Linked DNA regions of Caenorhabditis elegans. The protein of the gene in region 1 purifies or fractionates together with the protein of each later gene. This does not show direct contact. Each region holds a gene or a part of one and is shown in the gene's direction. Other genes may lie near its edges.

Region 1 (5,390 bases):
GAACAATCAAATTCTTGAAAACCGATTCTGAAATTGGAAATTGATACCGTATTTCCTATGTCAGTTTAGCATCCCTACAGATTTTTAAGTAAATTAGAAATTTATTCACTTGTTGCCAGACCTACACATTGTTTGAAATAAATAAATAAATAAATAATTTTTTTGCCAAAGAACAATCATTTTTCCTTTTTACCACTAATACCTGTATACTTTTTCTCGGCGTACTTCGTCCCATCGACTAACTACTATTTCATTCAACACCACTACCCAATCTCTTATTTTGAAATCATGGTCCAAGTGGAATCTTCTCAATTCTTTCATGTTTCCGTTTAATCAATTACGGATAAAATGATTCAAGTATTCTGGAGTAAAGCTATGGTTCCATATTGTCAGTTCTTCACACTTCATCAATTTGAAGTCCTCAAGTGTAAATCCTGGATTGAAGTAAGAATCCAGTCGGCGAATATTGAATAAGTTAAATTTAAAATTACAGATAAATTACGATTTAGTTTATTATAATTATTAATATTAATGAGGAAATCAGTACTTACTATATTTTTTGTCAAAGTATAAAGTTTTGTTAATAAAGTTTTGTTCCAGTTTTTTGCTTGATTCTCTAGTAATTATTCGAGTACAAACCAGGGGTGGGCGGCAAATTTACCAAATTTGCCGAGTCGAAAAGTGTGTGGGTTTGAAGCCCGATAGCATAATATTTTCAGTCCGGCTGATCTTTTTGATATCCGTAAAAAGCTCAATTTGTTGTTGTTATTGACCAAATCGTTTGGATCATTTATGAGTTTTCTCTACAATGGACAAAAATAAAGATTGTTGTTGTTTACGTTTTGCAAATATTAAAAGTTATTTGAAAATCTCGTACTTGATTAAAAAACTCCTCTCATAAAAAGCAGCACGTTTGCAACTTTAAATCATAATTTTGTTTGCCATGTACTTCATTCTCTGCCTCCTAGCAATTGGTGTCAATGCTCAATTCACTTCAACTGGTCAATCAAGCATTGTGGATGCTCATAACAAATTGAGATCCGCTATTGCAAAGAGTACCTATGTTGCGAAGGGAACCAAAAAAGAACCAGCAACTGATATGAGGAAAATGGTAGGTTTTAAATTGCCCAATTATGTCAAATAAAAAACTTAAAGTTTTCTTTTTTCAAGAGTTTCAAGTCATTCAAGTTGGGGTAACTTTTGGCAATCATATTTGAACAAAAAGCCCAATGATGATACTTCAATAAACTTTTCAGGTCGTGGATTCCACCGTAGCTGCGTCGGCTCAGAATTATGCGAATACGTGCCCAACTGGACACTCAAAGGGAACTGGATATGGGGAAAATTTGTATTGGTCTTGGACTTCTGCGGATGTTGGATCCTTGGATTCCTATGTGAGTCGCATAACTTTTCTGGGACAGAAATCAATAATTCTTTCCAGGGAGAAATCGCCGCTGCCGCATGGGAAAAGGAATTCCAAGACTTTGGCTGGAAGTCTAACGCAATGGATACCACCCTATTCAACAGTGGAATAGGACACGCTACTCAAATGGCTTGGGCAAACACCAGCTCCATCGGGTGTGGAGTCAAGAATTGTGGACGAGACGCATCGATGAGAAATATGAACAAAATAGCTGTAGTCTGCCAGTATAGTCCACCGTAAGCACTGAAGTTTTTGATTTTTTTTAACTCAAAATTGTTCAAAAATATTCAGAGGAAACACTATGGGACGGCCGATTTATAAGGAAGGAACTACGTGTTCCAGCTGTTCCGGATCTACTAAATGTGACACTGCTTCTGGGCTTTGCGGATAATGAGAGATTTCACTTTTTGTGTCTGTAATTTTTTAATTTATTTGTTTTGTTTTAATCTGGGAATTAATTTACTAATGAAGCATTTGTTTTTTCTTGGTGATTATATAAAAAAAATAAAGCGAAAACTTTAAATTACACCAAACTTTTTTAAAATTTACGAAAATGCACACAACATCAAGTGCAGGCAAAAGTAAAACATTCTACTTGCCTATGTGCCAACAACAAAATTAGGAAGAAAATTCACTTCTTCCTAATCAGAATACTTGTTGACTTGACTCAAATGTTCATAATTACTGATAAAAGTCAATTCTTTGGTCTTGTGCTGCCCACTTCCGATCATACGTAGCTTACGATTTCTCAATTATCATACAATTTTACAGGTTTTCGCGTGATAAGACTCCTATAAAATGAACCGCAGTGATAAACATATTCGTGTTGACTTGCACTTTTTTCTCCAATTATGAATTACTTGTTGCTGGTTGTGGCGCTTGCTGTTGGCTGCTCCGCTGATTTCGGCTCTTCCGGACAAAACGGAATTATCAATGCACATAACACTCTGCGGTCTAAAATTGCAAAAGGTACCTACGTGGCAAAAGGAACTCAGAAATCGCCGGGAACAAATCTGTTGAAAATGGTATGTACATAACTAAGGTTCTCAGATTTATTTTTGATTTCAACTTTTCAGAAATGGGATTCCGCAGTCGCCGCATCCGCCCAAAACTACGCAAACGGGTGTCCGACGGGACACTCTGGAGATGCAGGCCTTGGGGAGAATTTGTATTGGTATTGGACAAGTGGATCTCTGGGAGACCTCAATCAATATGTCAGTCATTTAGTCTACCTTGTGCCTGCCTGCCTAGACCTACTGCCTATTTTGTTCAAATTTTGCCTAAATACAACATGCGAATATTGGCAGTAGGCAGGAGGCAGGCGCTTGATACCTTCTTTATTTTAAAAGTTTCTGAAATTTCTATAATCAATCTTTTCATTCAGGGATCTGCTGCGTCGGCATCATGGGAAAAAGAATTCCAAGATTACGGATGGAAGTCTAACCTTATGACTATCGATCTCTTCAACACAGGAATCGGACACGCGACTCAAATGGCGTGGGCGAAATCCAACCTGATCGGATGTGGAGTCAAGGATTGTGGAAGAGACTCAAACGGCCTGAACAAAGTAACCGTCGTGTGCCAGTACAAGCCGCAGTAAGTGAGATTTGTTGACTAGTCTATGTTGACTGTGTCTGCGAATGTTGTGTTTTGTGTTGTTCTCTAGGATAGGTTTGCAAAAAAGATAAATTTTTGGTCACGTTCCCTGAAACAAAATCCAAAAAATTAGGCAATTTTCAACAAATTTTGATCATTTTGAGGAGATCATTAAAAACAAAAAACCCAATAAAAATTATACAAAAATACGAAAAATATTGTTGTTGGCGAAAAGTGAACTGTGCTTCGACAACTGGTAAAGTAGTCTTGAACACTTTGTGAGTTAGGATTTTTCTGAAGAGTAAAAAGTAGTTTTAGGAAAATTAATTTCAACCGAGACAAAATTTTTAACATAAAAAAAAATTGAAAAGTGTATGTGCGAGAGAGCCCTGTTGAATACAAGCTACTGTTTGCTAATACATCAATTTTCAGAGGAAACTTCATTAATCAATACATCTACGTATCGGGAGCAACCTGTTCCGGCTGTCCATCAGGAACGTCATGTGAGACTTCCACAGGGCTCTGCGTCTAAACTTTAATAATGCAATGTGTTTTCAAACTTTCTGTAGATAATAAATAAAATTGTGTGCTAGTTGAAAACCAGAACACAAACAACCTTTGATCAAAATGCCTATGTAACAAATGCGACGATTACGTGTTCGAAATCCTATTGGCAGATTTGGAGTATAATGAGCAGTTAGAACTTTATTGGGAGGTCAAAGACTACTTGTGTCTAGAGATGTATCTAAGTTATGAAAAAAGTTCAAGCTATAGGTTTTTTGACTACGATATCTTGTATGTATTTTCAAAGATGTTGGTGATTTAGTTGAAAGTTAACAGCTTGAAAACGTTTTTATTTTTCCGTTTCTGACTTCCATGAATTTCAAAAAATTACCGTATGTCTGTATTGTTACTATCTACTGTGTGAAATTTCAAAAAATGAAATCCAACTTCAGCCTCCCTTTTGTATATAAAACAAACAATGTCAACATAAAACTCTTACCAATTTAGTCTATTTCTATTAAAGCACACGTTCTTTAGTTTTTTCCCTCTTCCCATGACTTTTAGTTTCCCTCACGGCGACGACGACATCCAGTTGTTCATACAAACTAAAATCTCCTATAAATATCCAACCTACTAGTTGTATTTTCAACAGACAACATGCACACCTTTACTCTTCTCGTTTTGGTTACCCTTCAGATTGGTAAGTTTTTTTTTTGGAAATTTTTGAAACTAATTTTCTTCAATTTTTCAGGAGCTTATGCTCAATTCAGAGAAAGCACTCAACAATTCATTGTGGACCTTCATAATAAGCTTCGTACTTCAATTGCCAAGGGAACATATGTGGCTAAAGGGACAACAAAAGCAGCTGGTAGTAATCTTTTGAAAATGGTAGGTTTTCGGCAGTTAGTTACTTTGTGATTTTCCAATGAATGGAACCTTCAGTTGAAGGTCTTTGCTAGGTTCAAGTGCTCTTCAGAGCATTTTCTAAAGTTTCAGTCGGCTTCTCTACAGATCTGGGAGCACTTGATCTGGAGTTAATTAAAGGGTCTGATGTAGAGCTGGCGTAGACTTCTTAGACCTCGCCTACTATCGCCTACTACTCACTCCTTATACCTCCAATACCATTTCAGAAGTGGGACACCACATTGGCCACCGCTGCTCAAACTTTTGCTAACACTTGCCCGAGAGGTCACTCCAATGCAGCTGGAGTTGGAGAGAACTTGTACTGGAGATGGTCCAGCCTCCCATTCTCCGGAATGGATATCTATGGAGGAGCTGCATCTGTTGCCTGGGAACAAGAATTCCAGCAGTACGGATGGACAACCAACACTTTCACTCAAGCCCTTGCTAACACTGGAATTGGACATGCTACCCAAATGGCTTGGGCTAATACTGGTCTGATTGGATGTGGAGTGAAGAACTGCGGACCTGATCCAGAACTAAATAACTATAACAGAGCTGTTGTGGTTTGCCAATACAAGGCTCAGTAAGCATTTGAAGCAAACATGCACATAAAAACGATGAATTTTCAGAGGAAACTATTTGGGTCAAGACATCTACAAGTCAGGAACCACTTGCTCAGCGTGCCCAACTGGAACCACTTGTGAAGCTGCCACTGGACTTTGTGTATAAACTTGTGGAAAATGATTGAAACGTAGATAATATTTCAACACTGCCCATTGCATTCCAATATTCTTTCCATTGTGTAATAAATTTTCTTATATTTTTTTGATGGACTGGATAATAAGAAAAAAGCGGCCTAATGTGTACATGAGTCAGAGATCTATTGTATTCATTAAAAAATCTTCCAAACCAAAACATTATGCATAAACTACCTAATTAGTTTCTTATTTGTTCCTAATTTGGA
Region 2 (6,173 bases), on another chromosome or scaffold:
TTTCGATCTCGGTACAAATTCCCTTTGCAGATTTTTTGTGATATCTTGCTCATTTTCATAGCTTTCGCATTTTCTATTCTATTCTTGTTACGGGTACTTTTTGTTTTTTATTAATTCAGTTTTTATATAAATCAATATGGTTTACAAAATTATTAAATTATTCACGGCGCCGTGAAAAAAAAATTGTTTACAAAAAGACACGTAGATGTGAGTAAAACTAGGAAAAAAAATTATTTTCAATTGAAAGTGATTTCCGAAAGGTGAGTTCTCTTTTTCTCTTCCAGGAATCAAAAGTTAAAAAGGTTTGATGTTTTAGATTATGAAAGACGACGTCGTTGACAACATAATAATTGATGTCCTGAGCGCTAGTACTCACGAAAAGCTACTTTCCGAAGTGATCACGGAAGGACGAGTTCTAAAGCTTCTCGATTTGGCACTGGATGTATTTAAAAGACAGAAATCAATGGTTGAAATGAATGCTCCGATAAAGGTGTGCGGTGACATCCATGGACAATTCCCGGATCTTCTTCGTCTCTTCCATCGTGGTGGATGGCCGCCGACTGCGAATTATTTATTCCTTGGTGACTATGTGGACCGTGGAAGATTTAGCATTGAAACCATTGTTCTTCTTCTCGCTTATAAGGTTTGTTGCTTTAAGTTTTGCAAAAAGAAGCTAGGATCAAAAATTGTGACGCGCCAGAATTAATCATTGACACAAAGAATGCCAAAACAGGGGATTTTTGCAGAGACCGCTTAGATTTTCCAAAATAAGCGTACACATGTGATAAATAAATGTGTTTTCAAAAAGAAACATATTTATTGTCCATCACATATTGCTCTGCAAAAAAGTGCGCATCTCTCAAGTATCAAAGTGACAGAAAGTTGATGCTGCTCCGATGAGCTGTCAAATTTGAAAAATGACGTCAACTGGAGTGATGGATCTTTTGGACGTTTATTTCTCTCTCCCGATCTTCCAAATCCCATGGCGTGAACTTCTTTGAAACATTTTTCAAGTCATGATTCCAGGTGAAATTCCCGGGCAATTTATTCTTGTTGCGTGGAAACCATGAGTGCGAGTTTGTCAACAAGGTATATGGATTCTATGAAGAGTGTCAGAAACGCTATCAAAGTGTTCGCATGTTCACGGCTTTCCAGGTAAATTTGATTTTTTACCAAAATTGAACAATAAGGTGCAATATTAATACAGGAAAAACGGTACTTTCAGGACGTATTCAATTGGCTTCCACTCTGCGGACTCATTGCTAATAAGATCTTGTGCATGCACGGAGGACTATCGCCTAGTATGTCAAAGGATTTCACTTTGGACAACCTGAGAAAAATTAATAGGCCATGACGGCAAGGAGAGACTGGTAGCTGATCTTTTGTGGGCCGATCCTATTAGTGGTCTTTCTGGGTTTATGGTAACTTTCTGATAAGAAAAGATCGATTTCATCAACTTTATTCAGGAAAACAACCGAGGTGCCGGGTGTGGATTCGGAAGAGATGCTGTTCTGAAAGTGTGCTCCGATTTTAAGCTTGACCTGATCTGTCGTGCCCATCAAGTTGTTCAAGACGGTTATGAGTTCTTTGCTGGTCGGAAATTGGTGGTATGAGTAAAAAAAAAGTGCCGAGAGAAAGGAACATTAAAAATTTTTAGACAATCTTCTCGGCTCCTCATTACTGTGGTCAATTCGACAACTGTGCTGCCTTCATGTCTTGCGACGAGAAGCTTCAGGTAAAAATTTTTAATTGAAATGTTGTAATAAATGTGCATTCTTACAGTGCTCGTTCGAAATTCTCCGTCCAACGAGTGGCCGCCTTGAAGTTCGCGAGAAACCATTGCTCAAGGATGAAACAAACTGATGGATGGCTGATTCATAATTTCCTTCAATAAATGAATAGACAAATAAATGTGGTTTTGATATTATTTGTAAAATAATAATTTAATGTTTAAAAGTAATATTTGAAATTTGGCCAACAACCTGCCCAGCCAGCTTGACAAACAACGACACCTTTCCGGTAGAAATTTTCACCAACTTCCCGTCTTTTTTGAGAGAAATATTGCAGTGGAGATCTTAACAGTGGTGATCCCAACAGTTATCCCAAAACTAGAATACCACAACACTTTAAATTTTTAACTGATTTTTCAATCTTACCAGTCTATGTTTTGATCTTTTTATCCAAAAAATTGAATTTATTAATATTTTGAGAGACCTCAATTAGTTATATTGGCTTCAGATCCTACATTTTTCAATCATCGTGACTAGCTGAAATTTCTAATTCGGATAGTCCAGCCAAGGCAAGACGGGTGTCATATGTTAGACTTTTAATCATACAGTCACGCTTGTTATTATATCATCCCACGTGGCATCTAGTCAGTCACACTACTATTAGTCACTCTACTTACTCTTATAATTTTTTCAAAAAAGCCTACGAAAATCTTTAAAATCTGAACAATCTGAGTACATCCGTACCAAAACTGTATCCCAAAGTAACTTTTTAACGAAACACGTGTTTGTCTCTAGGTATGCGTTGGGAACAAAAAAGGTACATACTTATCTTTGATTCGTCTCTCTAGCAATTGGGGGGGGGGGGGGGACAGGCCTTCAGCAGGCAGCATCCGTCAAATTGCGTGATAATTGAATTAGACAATGACCACGTGTGGGAAGAGGACAAATGAGTGTATGTCTTCGTCGTCGTCGTCATCAAGTTATAAGATCAACCCTCCACCCATTTCGTTGAAATCAGAAGGCGTCGATGTCTAAGTCTCTGATCAGGCGACCTCACTGGTTCCTCTTTTAAGAAAATTCCCACATAACTACACTTGATTTGATTACTCATTTTTCTAACTGTTAACTTTTTTGATTATCAACTGTTCTTCGTCTGCTTCCGTGTCACACAAAAAATGAAAAACTTGCGAGTTTTTGGAAGAATTCACAATGCCAGAAGAAACTATTCACCTTTACCAGTTGATCCTTTATTACGGTTTAAAACAATCAGTCAAACACAAAAAGCTCCTCGAGTTTTAATCACTGGATCTCTTGGGCAGCTTGGAAGAGGTTTAAATTCAGTCTACAAGTACATGTATGGATCTGAATGCGTTGTTATGAGTGATATTGTTCGTCTTCCTGCAAATGCTACAGATGTTTGTAAGTTGAAACTGCTTTCCATATTTTCAACAGAAAATTAATTTATTGTGTATTTTAGCCGACTACAATTACCTGGATATTTTGAATCAAGGATCTATTGAAGAAATCGTTGTTAACAAAAACATCGACACAATTGTTCATTTCTCTGCACTTCTATCAGCTGTTGGAGAAACAAATGTTCCGTTGGCTCTGCAAGTGAATTGTAGAGGAGTTGAGAACATTTTGCAAGTTGCTGCGTAAGTTCCTACTTGTATTGGACTATATCTTGACATTGTATTGTTTCAGAAAACATAAGCTAAAAGTGTTCATTCCATCCACAATTGGAGCTTTTGGACCAACAACTCCAAGAGAAAACACTCCAGATCTTACAGTACAATGTCCTACAACCATTTATGGAGTCAGTAAAGTATATGCAGAACGTCTCGGAGAATATTTCAATCATCGGTTTGGGGTTGATTTCAGAAGCATGAGATTCCCGGGTATTATCTCAGCGACAAAGCCAGGTGGTGGAACTACTGGTGAGTAAAATTATATAATAATTAAACGAGAATTTGAAACTTTTTTCCTTTAAAGATGAAGTACGGTCAATTCTAAAATGACCAAATATTATAATAAAACTTAGAGAAAAAAATTTGAAAAGGTGAAATCTCAGTTTTCACCTATCTTTTGCAAGTCGTCGATTAAAAAATCAGAAAAAAATTTCTTACAGCTGTTTGATTATGTTGAAAATGTTCATAGTTCAACATTGGGATTTGAACATGCAACAATGTTTTAGATTTTTTTTTTTTGAAAAATGGCAAAACTCAGTAATTGCCACTTTCTGACTGGCAATAAAAATTTTCCAAAAACTTTTGGAAAAGTTTTACTATGAAATTTGGTCCTTTTAGCCCTATATGAATGGTTTCGAATTACTTCCCAACTAATTTTTGATACGACCTTTTCAATTAGAAAGGTTTTGTAACACGATTAGAGATAATTTCCTTGCAGACAAACGGTATCAAAAAGTGGTCAAAGTTGATCAGTTGATACATTTTTGAAAAGAATATTTCTCACGTACACAGTCAAAACTATCCTCCTTTCAGACTACGCAATCCAAATTTTCTACGACGCTCTTCAAAAAGGCAAGCACACCTGCTACCTTCGACCAGACACACGTCTTCCAATGATGTACGACACTGATTGTATGGCTTCAGTCATTCAACTTTTGGCTGCTGACAGTCAATCATTGAAGAGGCGAACATACAATGTAACGGGATTCTCATTCACACCAGAGGAAATTGCTGATGCAATTCGAAGAGTGATGCCAGGTTTCGAGATTGATTACGATATCTGTCCAACAAGGCAGTCTATTGGTAGGTGATATATGATCATTTTTGCAAGTGGACTTGCAAAAAGAAATACCTCTTTTAAAAAAACTAAAATAATTTTTTTCAGCCGATTCATGGCCTATGTCATTGGATGACAGTGAAGCACGTAAGGATTGGGGATGGAATCCAGAATATGGTCTCGATGAAACTGTTCAAGTGATGTTCGCATTGCTGCGAAGAGAAGAAGACAAACCTACAAAGATTGTCAGTACTGCATAAAAACTGGTTATTTAGGCATTAATAAATCATTTGATCTACTTGTTGCAAAAATAAAAGTGATAGAGAGAAAAGTTTACACTTGGAACGGATAGAAAGTATCAATGGGTGCAAAATGGGTGTATGACACAAAAGCAAGTGGTCATTTGAACAGCATTTCAGTTAACTGTGGGGTTATGAGAAGAATTAGAGTGCAATTCATGAACACGGTTGTATTTTTGTCAGCAATTTAAAAATTGACACTTGATTATTCAGAAACATCAGTTGAGATGAAAGAATATGCGAAAATCGAATAAAATTTATTAGATGTTAGTGATACATAAGGTTGAGAATTAGAGTGAGAAACAACAATGTGATTGAAATGAAATGATGGTGTAACAGTTGTCAACTGAGCTCAACATTCTCTGCTCCACTCTTCGTTTTGTTTCTGCTTTGAAGGTTGTAGCTGGGAATCATAATTTACAACAAAAATGATTTCAGGTAAGTTTCACACATATATTTTATATATCAAAATATAAAAATGTTTTTTTATTTCTAAAAAGCAAATAATTTAGTCTAAATTTAAAATTCTTGGGTTCTTACTTTTAAAACGTTTTTTACAAACCAAACCAATTAGAGCAACTAATTGAGACATATTTTCATACACAATTTCCATAATTTACGTTCAAAATTTTTGTTTTCAGGAAATCCATATTTAAACATTCAAGGTCCTTTTGGAAACTTTTCAGAAAATGAAAAAAAGCAGACTTGTTTTAGGCTCCGTATTCAGGTTTGGCTTGCAATTTATTTTTTTGCTTCAGAAAATTTAATTTTTCAGACCTGGGTTTACATACATTGTGGGATCAGTATTGCTACCTCAATAATTGGAATCACGCTTGGAGTATTACTTTTGGTCAAAACAGAATGGCATGAGAAATTGTTTATTTATAAATTGACGTTTGCAGTAAGTTTTTTTTCAAATATTTAACTTCAAAAGTGGAGAAAAGCAATTCGGTATTCTGATTTAAACCATAGAAAATGGACCGTAATGGGCAAATACAATTGCCAAAAAATTGAATAAATAATTTTCCAAAAATGTTTTTATGATTTTTCAATTTTTAAAAAATAAAAAGGGCTAAAAAAGGAAAAACGTTTTCTGGCTTAACTAAATGGATTTTCGCTAAAATTCGAGCACAATCCATGTAAAATCTGTTTGAAACCAAAAATTGGATGTGGGCCGTATTTGTAAATTTTTTATGTGAAGCAGTTTTCGAGCATTTAAAAAATTTAACAAAAACCAGTGCATTTTTGTCCAAAAGCAGAAAATGCTTTCATGAACTTTAACATTTTGAAAGTTAAAAAAAATCAATTTTGTTTTTGCAGTTAATATCGACAATATTGACTTTCAATTTGCTTTTTTTTATACTTTTATTCAAAAATATATTATGAATAACCTATTTGA
Region 3 (6,275 bases), on another chromosome or scaffold:
ACAGTTGCTCCTGGAGTCGGCGGAAAGTTAAACTTTTCCGAAGGAACGGTGATGCAACAATGATCACTGACAGATCCATCCAAGAATGCGACTCTCCACTGAAAATAATGATTTTACGAACTAATTAAAAATAATTAAAGAAAATACCTCAAACGAATCTCTGAGCTGATCAATCAAAACGCCGTATTTATAAAAATGCATTGTTTTGCGGTGATAATCATCGGCAAGTCACAGAAACTCGTAAATCTGAATTAAAAATGTTTTAAAGAAGTCCAAAGCAAATCTGAACACTTTACGCTGAAGATTTAACCGAATTTCACTATTTTCAAATTTAGAAATCACTTTTTAACAAAAAAATTAGCTAAATGAAAGCGAAAAATGGGAAAATCTCCGTTTGGACCGAGCAGGCATGCACTGGTGGCGTGGTGAGACCTGTGAACCGACATGCATGCACCTTTAAGTGTGACTGTAACCGGATTGAAATTTTCAGGCCTACAACGGTGGAATTAAAATTGTTGTGAAGACTTGTTCGTTTGGTGTAGACGATGATATGTCGAATTTTGAACTGTACAGAAATAAGCCATAAAACATTTTGATGCTAATTTCAAGTTTTTGCGAACCTAAGCAAATTCAAAGAAAAAAGGGCGGAGTTGGTCTGAAACTTCTCAGTTCTCACTTTCCAGCTGCTTCCAAAGTTTTTCCATGATATTTGGTCCTTTTGCCACTATATATGTAGTTTTTGACTATTTCCCCACAGGCGATACTCCTGCTTTAAAGAAAAATGTAATAATGACATTAAGTTTAAAAAATCCCAGATTTTGGTGATTTTTCCACTCTTGCTAAAATCTCCCATTGACAGTACTCCACCATCAAACAAGGACAAACTCAAGAAGTTTAAACAAACGATTCGAATGTCTATTTGTTTGAACTTTCTCCCAATTCTTTTTTTATTTACAAACACATTTCCTCATTCTTTCTTCCCATTTTTTATTATAGTTTTCGATGACTCTTTGCAGAAAAAAAAAACGAGAACTTTTGCTTGTTTAGTTAACATTTGAGATATTGAGACAGTTTGTTCTTCTATTTTTCAACATTTATATACGATATTTTTGAAGAATATTTTCTCTAAATTGATCTCAATTGTAATTCACAATAGAAGCCTATACATATCCTAACTAGCATCAATAATGTATAATTCCTTTTCAACCGTGACCATTTCAATTGAATTCGTTCCGAATATCCTCACTTTCTCTTTCAAAGTGTCTGCCAACCTTTTTGAAAAGACACGAAAATGATGATCTGTTCGCATTTGGGCAGGTATTTCACAAGTTTTTGCAATTTTATAGAACTTGGAATTTCAATATATCCGCAGAGCATTTATTTTGCGATTTTTGAGCAGAATTTTAAATAATAAGTTTTCATAATATTCTCAGACCTTTATATTTCTGTCAATTTTCGTGAATAATGTGATAGTGAAACATTCAAATTTCCTCACAAGTGTTCTGTAACAATATTCCCGAAAATTTTCGTGCAAGAATCTATTTTGCAAAAAAAAAAAATCAAAAGTCATATTAGGGGGACGCAAAAAACGCCTTTCGAAATCGAAAATCAATCTCGCCCCAACGCCAATTTTAAACGCTCCGCCCCTAAACATTGGGTCTCGTTAGGTAAAACCGTAAATTCAAGTTTTTTCCACTTTTCTGTTGCTTTTAATATTTCTTTTTAATTTTAAAATTAAGTTAAGAAGTGCATGATATAGTGACATGATATAGTGGGAAGAAAACGGTTTTTGATTCAATTTTAATTTTAATTTTTCATCATTTTTCACGCAAAATTCTAGAAAAATAACGAAAATGTTTGAATTTCCCAGAATACCTTAAAAAATACCAATGACAAATAATAAGCTATAATTTTTTTTGTAGCAAAATTGTTAAATTTTCTAATTGTCAAAGTTAGGAAAGTTTCCCCAAAAATTCTATTTAATTTCGAAATCAAAAGTATTTCAAAATTTCTTTTCTAAAATTCCACTGACTCATCATCACATCTCTTTTCTTTTCGAAGGTCTCTTTTTCGAAAAACCACTCCCTATTTTTGTGGACAATAAAAGTGTTCAGACAGTTTCAAATGACTCATCGCAGTTATTTCGTTCTCAATATATTTCTGCCTTATTTTCGAAGCATAACCAGTTATGAATCTCTTTCAATTTAATTTTATTTCCGTTTAAAAAGTAGGAATCAAAGATGAACTGACGTCAATTTTCCACTATTTTGCAGACTTCTTTTCAATGTTTCACAAATATTTACACTCATTGGTGGACGTAATACTTGAAACTTCCCTACGAAGAAAATAAATAAAAAATATTATCCAACTGCGAAATTACGAGAATCTTGAATTCTGCCAGCCTCATAGGGAGCTATTAGGCGTTTTAGGAAAATTAAAATATTTACTTTAAAAATCCTAAAAAAAATAAATCTGAAACGCTATCAATAAAGCATTCAGAAAGTACTGCACTTCCCACATTCTATAGATTTGCTCATAAAATTTGATGCATTGGCCGTGTTCACACATACTTGATACATCATATTTTACAAGCAAATTCGGTTCACTTTTTCTTTGTACTATATTGAACTGTCGTGTAATCCCTGATCCAAAAGTGCAAAATTCTTTACCACATTCAATTCTCCCATTATCCAAATACCTCAAAAAGTCTACCTGAAATATATACCTCAAAGTTCTAGAAAACCGACATAATGGCAACTGCAAAGATCCATTTCAAGCCGTATTTTGATGAGGTAAGCCTGTGGGAAACTAGTAAAGTTAAGCCGAAAATTGTAGGTTGCCGCCTCGGAGCAACTAGAGAAGGCTCTTAGAAACAAGGAGAAACTGAAGATTTTGGAAATCTTGGTTTCGGTTAATAATACACAGAGACAGATGGTAAGATTTTAATGGTAGGTAGGCATGCCTGCCTACTCACCTGCCTATGTCTAAAAGCTCCATATTTCCAGATCCGCACACCCTACAAAACTCGTTACGGAAAGGATTTGGAAGATGAAATCAAAAAAGCATTTTCTGGAGATTTCGAAGATTTTCTCGTTGCTCTACTTCAAACTCCTACTAAACTAGACGTGACTGAGCTGAATCGATCTGTGAAGGGTCTTGGAACAAATGAGAAAAATTTGATCGAAATTCTGACAACTAGGACTAACGAGGAAATTGAAGCGGCGAAGTTAGTTTTTAAAAAGTTTTTCGAAATTAGAAGCTTGAAGTCAAAACTAAATTTTACAACAACAGAAACAATTGGGAAGTAGGCATGGTATAGACATCAGGCGGGAACGTGAAAACACATAGGTAGGCAGCGATTTGGTGCAGAGTAGGCACTTAGGCAGGCATAAGGTAGGTCCGTGGGTAGACAAACATAACCCAGACAGCACTATGGTTATGAATAAGGCATAGGCAGACAGTCTTGATGTAGGTCCCGAAGCAAGGTATAACGTAGGCACGCAGAAAGGCGGAGATTTCAAAAGTATGAATCAGTCGTAATTCCTGTGCGTAGGCTTTTGAAAGCTAGTTAGGTCTCCCGAAAACGAACCCAATGATAATTTTAAAGTTGTTTTCTAGAAAATGTCCTTAAAAAAATTAATATCAACATATGTTTTTTCTAGAAACACTTACTTCATGACTTACTCCAAATCATTGGAAGATGCAATTTCTGCTGATACTTCTGGAGACTTCCGGCGTCTTCTCATTGTCATTCTCCAAGCAAAACGCGAAGAAGGTGGATTCGCTGATACATTCAAAGTTGGGCCTCACGCTGCTCAAATTCTGAAAAGTTTTGACAAAAAGTCTGGAGTCGAAAAATTCGATGCGTTCAAGATCTTTGCAACATGCAATGGAGCTCATATTCAAAAAGTTATTGAAGAAGTCGAGAGACAATCTGGAAAAGAGTTCCAGAAACTTATTGACAAGGAGCTCAGCGGAGATTTCAAGAATTTGGTGTTGTCTCTTATTGAGACTTCGAGAAATAAGCCTCGATATTTTGCAAATTCGATTCATTTGGCAACCAAGGTAGGTGCAAGATATTTGAAATCTTAGTTCAGAGAAATTTGACTTTAGGTAAATGACAAAAATTTCCTGATTTGATTTAAACATTTATCTTTTTGTTACATGTAGGAACTTTCACAAGTCTACACACATATCGTGCTTAACTTCCTACGTAGGCACGGAAGTAGGCACAGAAGTAAGCAATGTAGTAGGCACGCGTGTAGGCGTAAGGCTTTAGATAAAATTAATCAACTATGAAGATATAGGAAAAGAGTTAAACTAAAGCTGGTAACGCTAAAAACATTCTAGATAAAAACCCTCAAAGTTCAGGAAATATTCATGTTTTCAGGGAATGGGAACACGTGACAAGGATCTTATTCGTATTCTGGTATCCCGATCGGAAAATGATTTGGTGATCATTGAACACGAATTTCAAACTCTTTTTGGAAAACCATTGACTCAGGTGAGCCTATCAAGTAGACTGATATTACCTGCAACGTTTACGCCAAAATGTGTACTGAAAATAGAACAAAAAATATGTTGATATTTCCAAATACAGTTCAAAATACAAATTTCTATTTAAGATCCCCAGAGCGATGTTCGTAATATTTTCTATAGAAAACCATATTGGTTTCTCTTTATAAATTTCATAAAATTGCAGCTAATCAAGGAGGAGTGCAAGGCAGAATACCGTGATGGTTTGACGATGCTTGTCAAGGGAAATCCAAGACCTTAGAAAATGAAATACAAACTATCGATTAAAATGCTTTCTGTTTGAAATTGCTTTACATTGAAACTACTTTATAAAATCTATTTCTAAACGTTTTTATTTTAATAAAAGTTTGAAAAATGACAAGCGACAATTCCAAAAAGTGCTCACAAAGTTTTCTTGAAAATTAGCATTACATGTCCCACGTTCAATGCTGGTCAACATCCCATTATAAATTTCTTATGATTTTCGAGCAGCTGACATCTCCCGAGTCGGTTAGAACAGAACAGGACCTGAAGCAATTGTACCTCAAAACCCCGATTATTAATCGAAATATTTTTCTATAGAATTTCTGATTAGACTCATTTAAAAGTCTGTTAAACTAAATGCAGAAAAATATTTATTTCACTGTAGAACAATGTTTCAATTAATGTGCCAGTCCATAATTTTGGCCATTCTCTGTTTCATCACGAACTCTTGATCTTTTTAAGATTCTCCCCTTGAATCAAATTCAAAAATTTGTTATGTAGCAAAACTGCAGACTATAATTATCCATAAGGTCCCCTCCCGACGCCTTTTCCGTTTCCTTTTAGATTCCATTTCTTTTGTTCTTCATAGTGACCCTCACATGGATCGAAAATTGGCGTGTTCCTCGTTCATCGGCATTCGATTCCTATTCATTCAGGCTCTATTTTGCAATAATTCAAACCATCTCTCTATGTCTTGTCGGGGAAGAAGAGGTCATGGTGGGGTTGAATTTCCTCCCTTTTCCCACCGTAATTCAGGCGCCGTTCCGTCGATTCCGCCATTTCACCGCCGACACACACACGTTGAAATGATGGAAAAACCCCTTTTGATGAGAGGAACGGGCGGTATGTGAAAACAGACTGATGAGTGATTTATTGAGAAAATGTCAATGAAATTTAGTGTTGAAATTTTGGAATTTGTGACAGGCAGGCAGGATCCTGGCGCCTACCTGCCTGCCTGTCGTGTCTTGTCGGCGTTTTTTTTCAACATAAAAGTTAGAGTTTAAAATTTTAAAAATCGCAAAAATTGAAAATTTTTAAGCGTTAAAATTATAACTTTAGTTTAAACAACTTTAGACGAAAAATTCAAATTTTTAACTTTTCAAAAAACATTTTTGTTCGGGAATTTCAAAGTGTTAATTTTTAGAAAATTATTTGGCATAAAAAATTTATAATAAAATTGTTTAAAGAATCATGATTTAAAAAAAGCTAGCATTTGAACAAAAAAAACAATTTCTAAATATTTTTCCCTACAATACATCTACCGTACCACTATCATATCTACAGTAAAATATCAAATCCGCTGCTAACTTTAAGAAAAACTCTTTATATTTGCAAAATAGTATGAAGATTTTAATTTTTTATTCACTAAAAGTACAATTTACAGTAAAAAAGATAGTATATCAATATGATAGGAATCTAATTATAAATAAAAAAGACGGGCACCCGGTTGGCCGTTGGATTAAAATGAAAAGACGAAAAAAACTGGAATCGGTGAA

Evidence for each region. The genes of interacting proteins can lie anywhere in the genome.
Region 2: the proteins of scl-2 (region 1) and F08F3.4 fractionate together in Caenorhabditis elegans (co-fractionation; one large-scale study listed by BioGRID). This does not show direct contact.
Region 3: the proteins of scl-2 (region 1) and nex-3 fractionate together in Caenorhabditis elegans (co-fractionation; one large-scale study listed by BioGRID). This does not show direct contact.

Annotation. Positions count from the first base shown.
Region 1 is NC_003282.8:13,055,448-13,060,837, forward strand, and holds scl-2 (SCP domain-containing protein), read left to right. Parts: upstream 1-2,262; 5' UTR 2,263-2,274; coding exon 2,275-2,448; intron 2,449-2,499; coding exon 2,500-2,637; intron 2,638-2,807; coding exon 2,808-3,019; intron 3,020-3,451; coding exon 3,452-3,551; 3' UTR 3,552-3,615; downstream 3,616-5,390. Other genes in the region: scl-1 (SCP domain-containing protein), read left to right, coding at 944-1,111, 1,257-1,394, 1,442-1,659, 1,715-1,814; scl-3 (SCP domain-containing protein), read left to right, coding at 4,181-4,223, 4,275-4,411, 4,654-5,009, 5,056-5,155.
Region 2 is NC_003283.11:5,408,209-5,414,381, forward strand, and holds F08F3.4 (L-threonine 3-dehydrogenase, mitochondrial), read left to right. Parts: upstream 1-2,746; 5' UTR 2,747-2,905; coding exon 2,906-3,149; intron 3,150-3,207; coding exon 3,208-3,385; intron 3,386-3,434; coding exon 3,435-3,667; intron 3,668-4,231; coding exon 4,232-4,501; intron 4,502-4,583; coding exon 4,584-4,735; 3' UTR 4,736-4,793; downstream 4,794-6,173. Other genes in the region: C25A6.1 (Serine/threonine-protein phosphatase), read left to right, coding at 320-643, 1,027-1,155, 1,226-1,301, 1,348-1,421, 1,467-1,607, 1,658-1,735, 1,783-1,863; F08F3.10 (uncharacterized protein), read left to right, coding at 5,203-5,212, 5,416-5,501, 5,550-5,675.
Region 3 is NC_003281.10:4,439,343-4,445,617, forward strand, and holds nex-3 (Annexin), read left to right. Parts: upstream 1-2,738; 5' UTR 2,739-2,750; coding exon 2,751-2,792; intron 2,793-2,835; coding exon 2,836-2,934; intron 2,935-3,005; coding exon 3,006-3,226; intron 3,227-3,662; coding exon 3,663-4,065; intron 4,066-4,390; coding exon 4,391-4,504; intron 4,505-4,702; coding exon 4,703-4,777; 3' UTR 4,778-4,895; downstream 4,896-6,275. Other genes in the region: C28A5.2 (REJ domain-containing protein), read right to left, coding at 1-98, 148-201.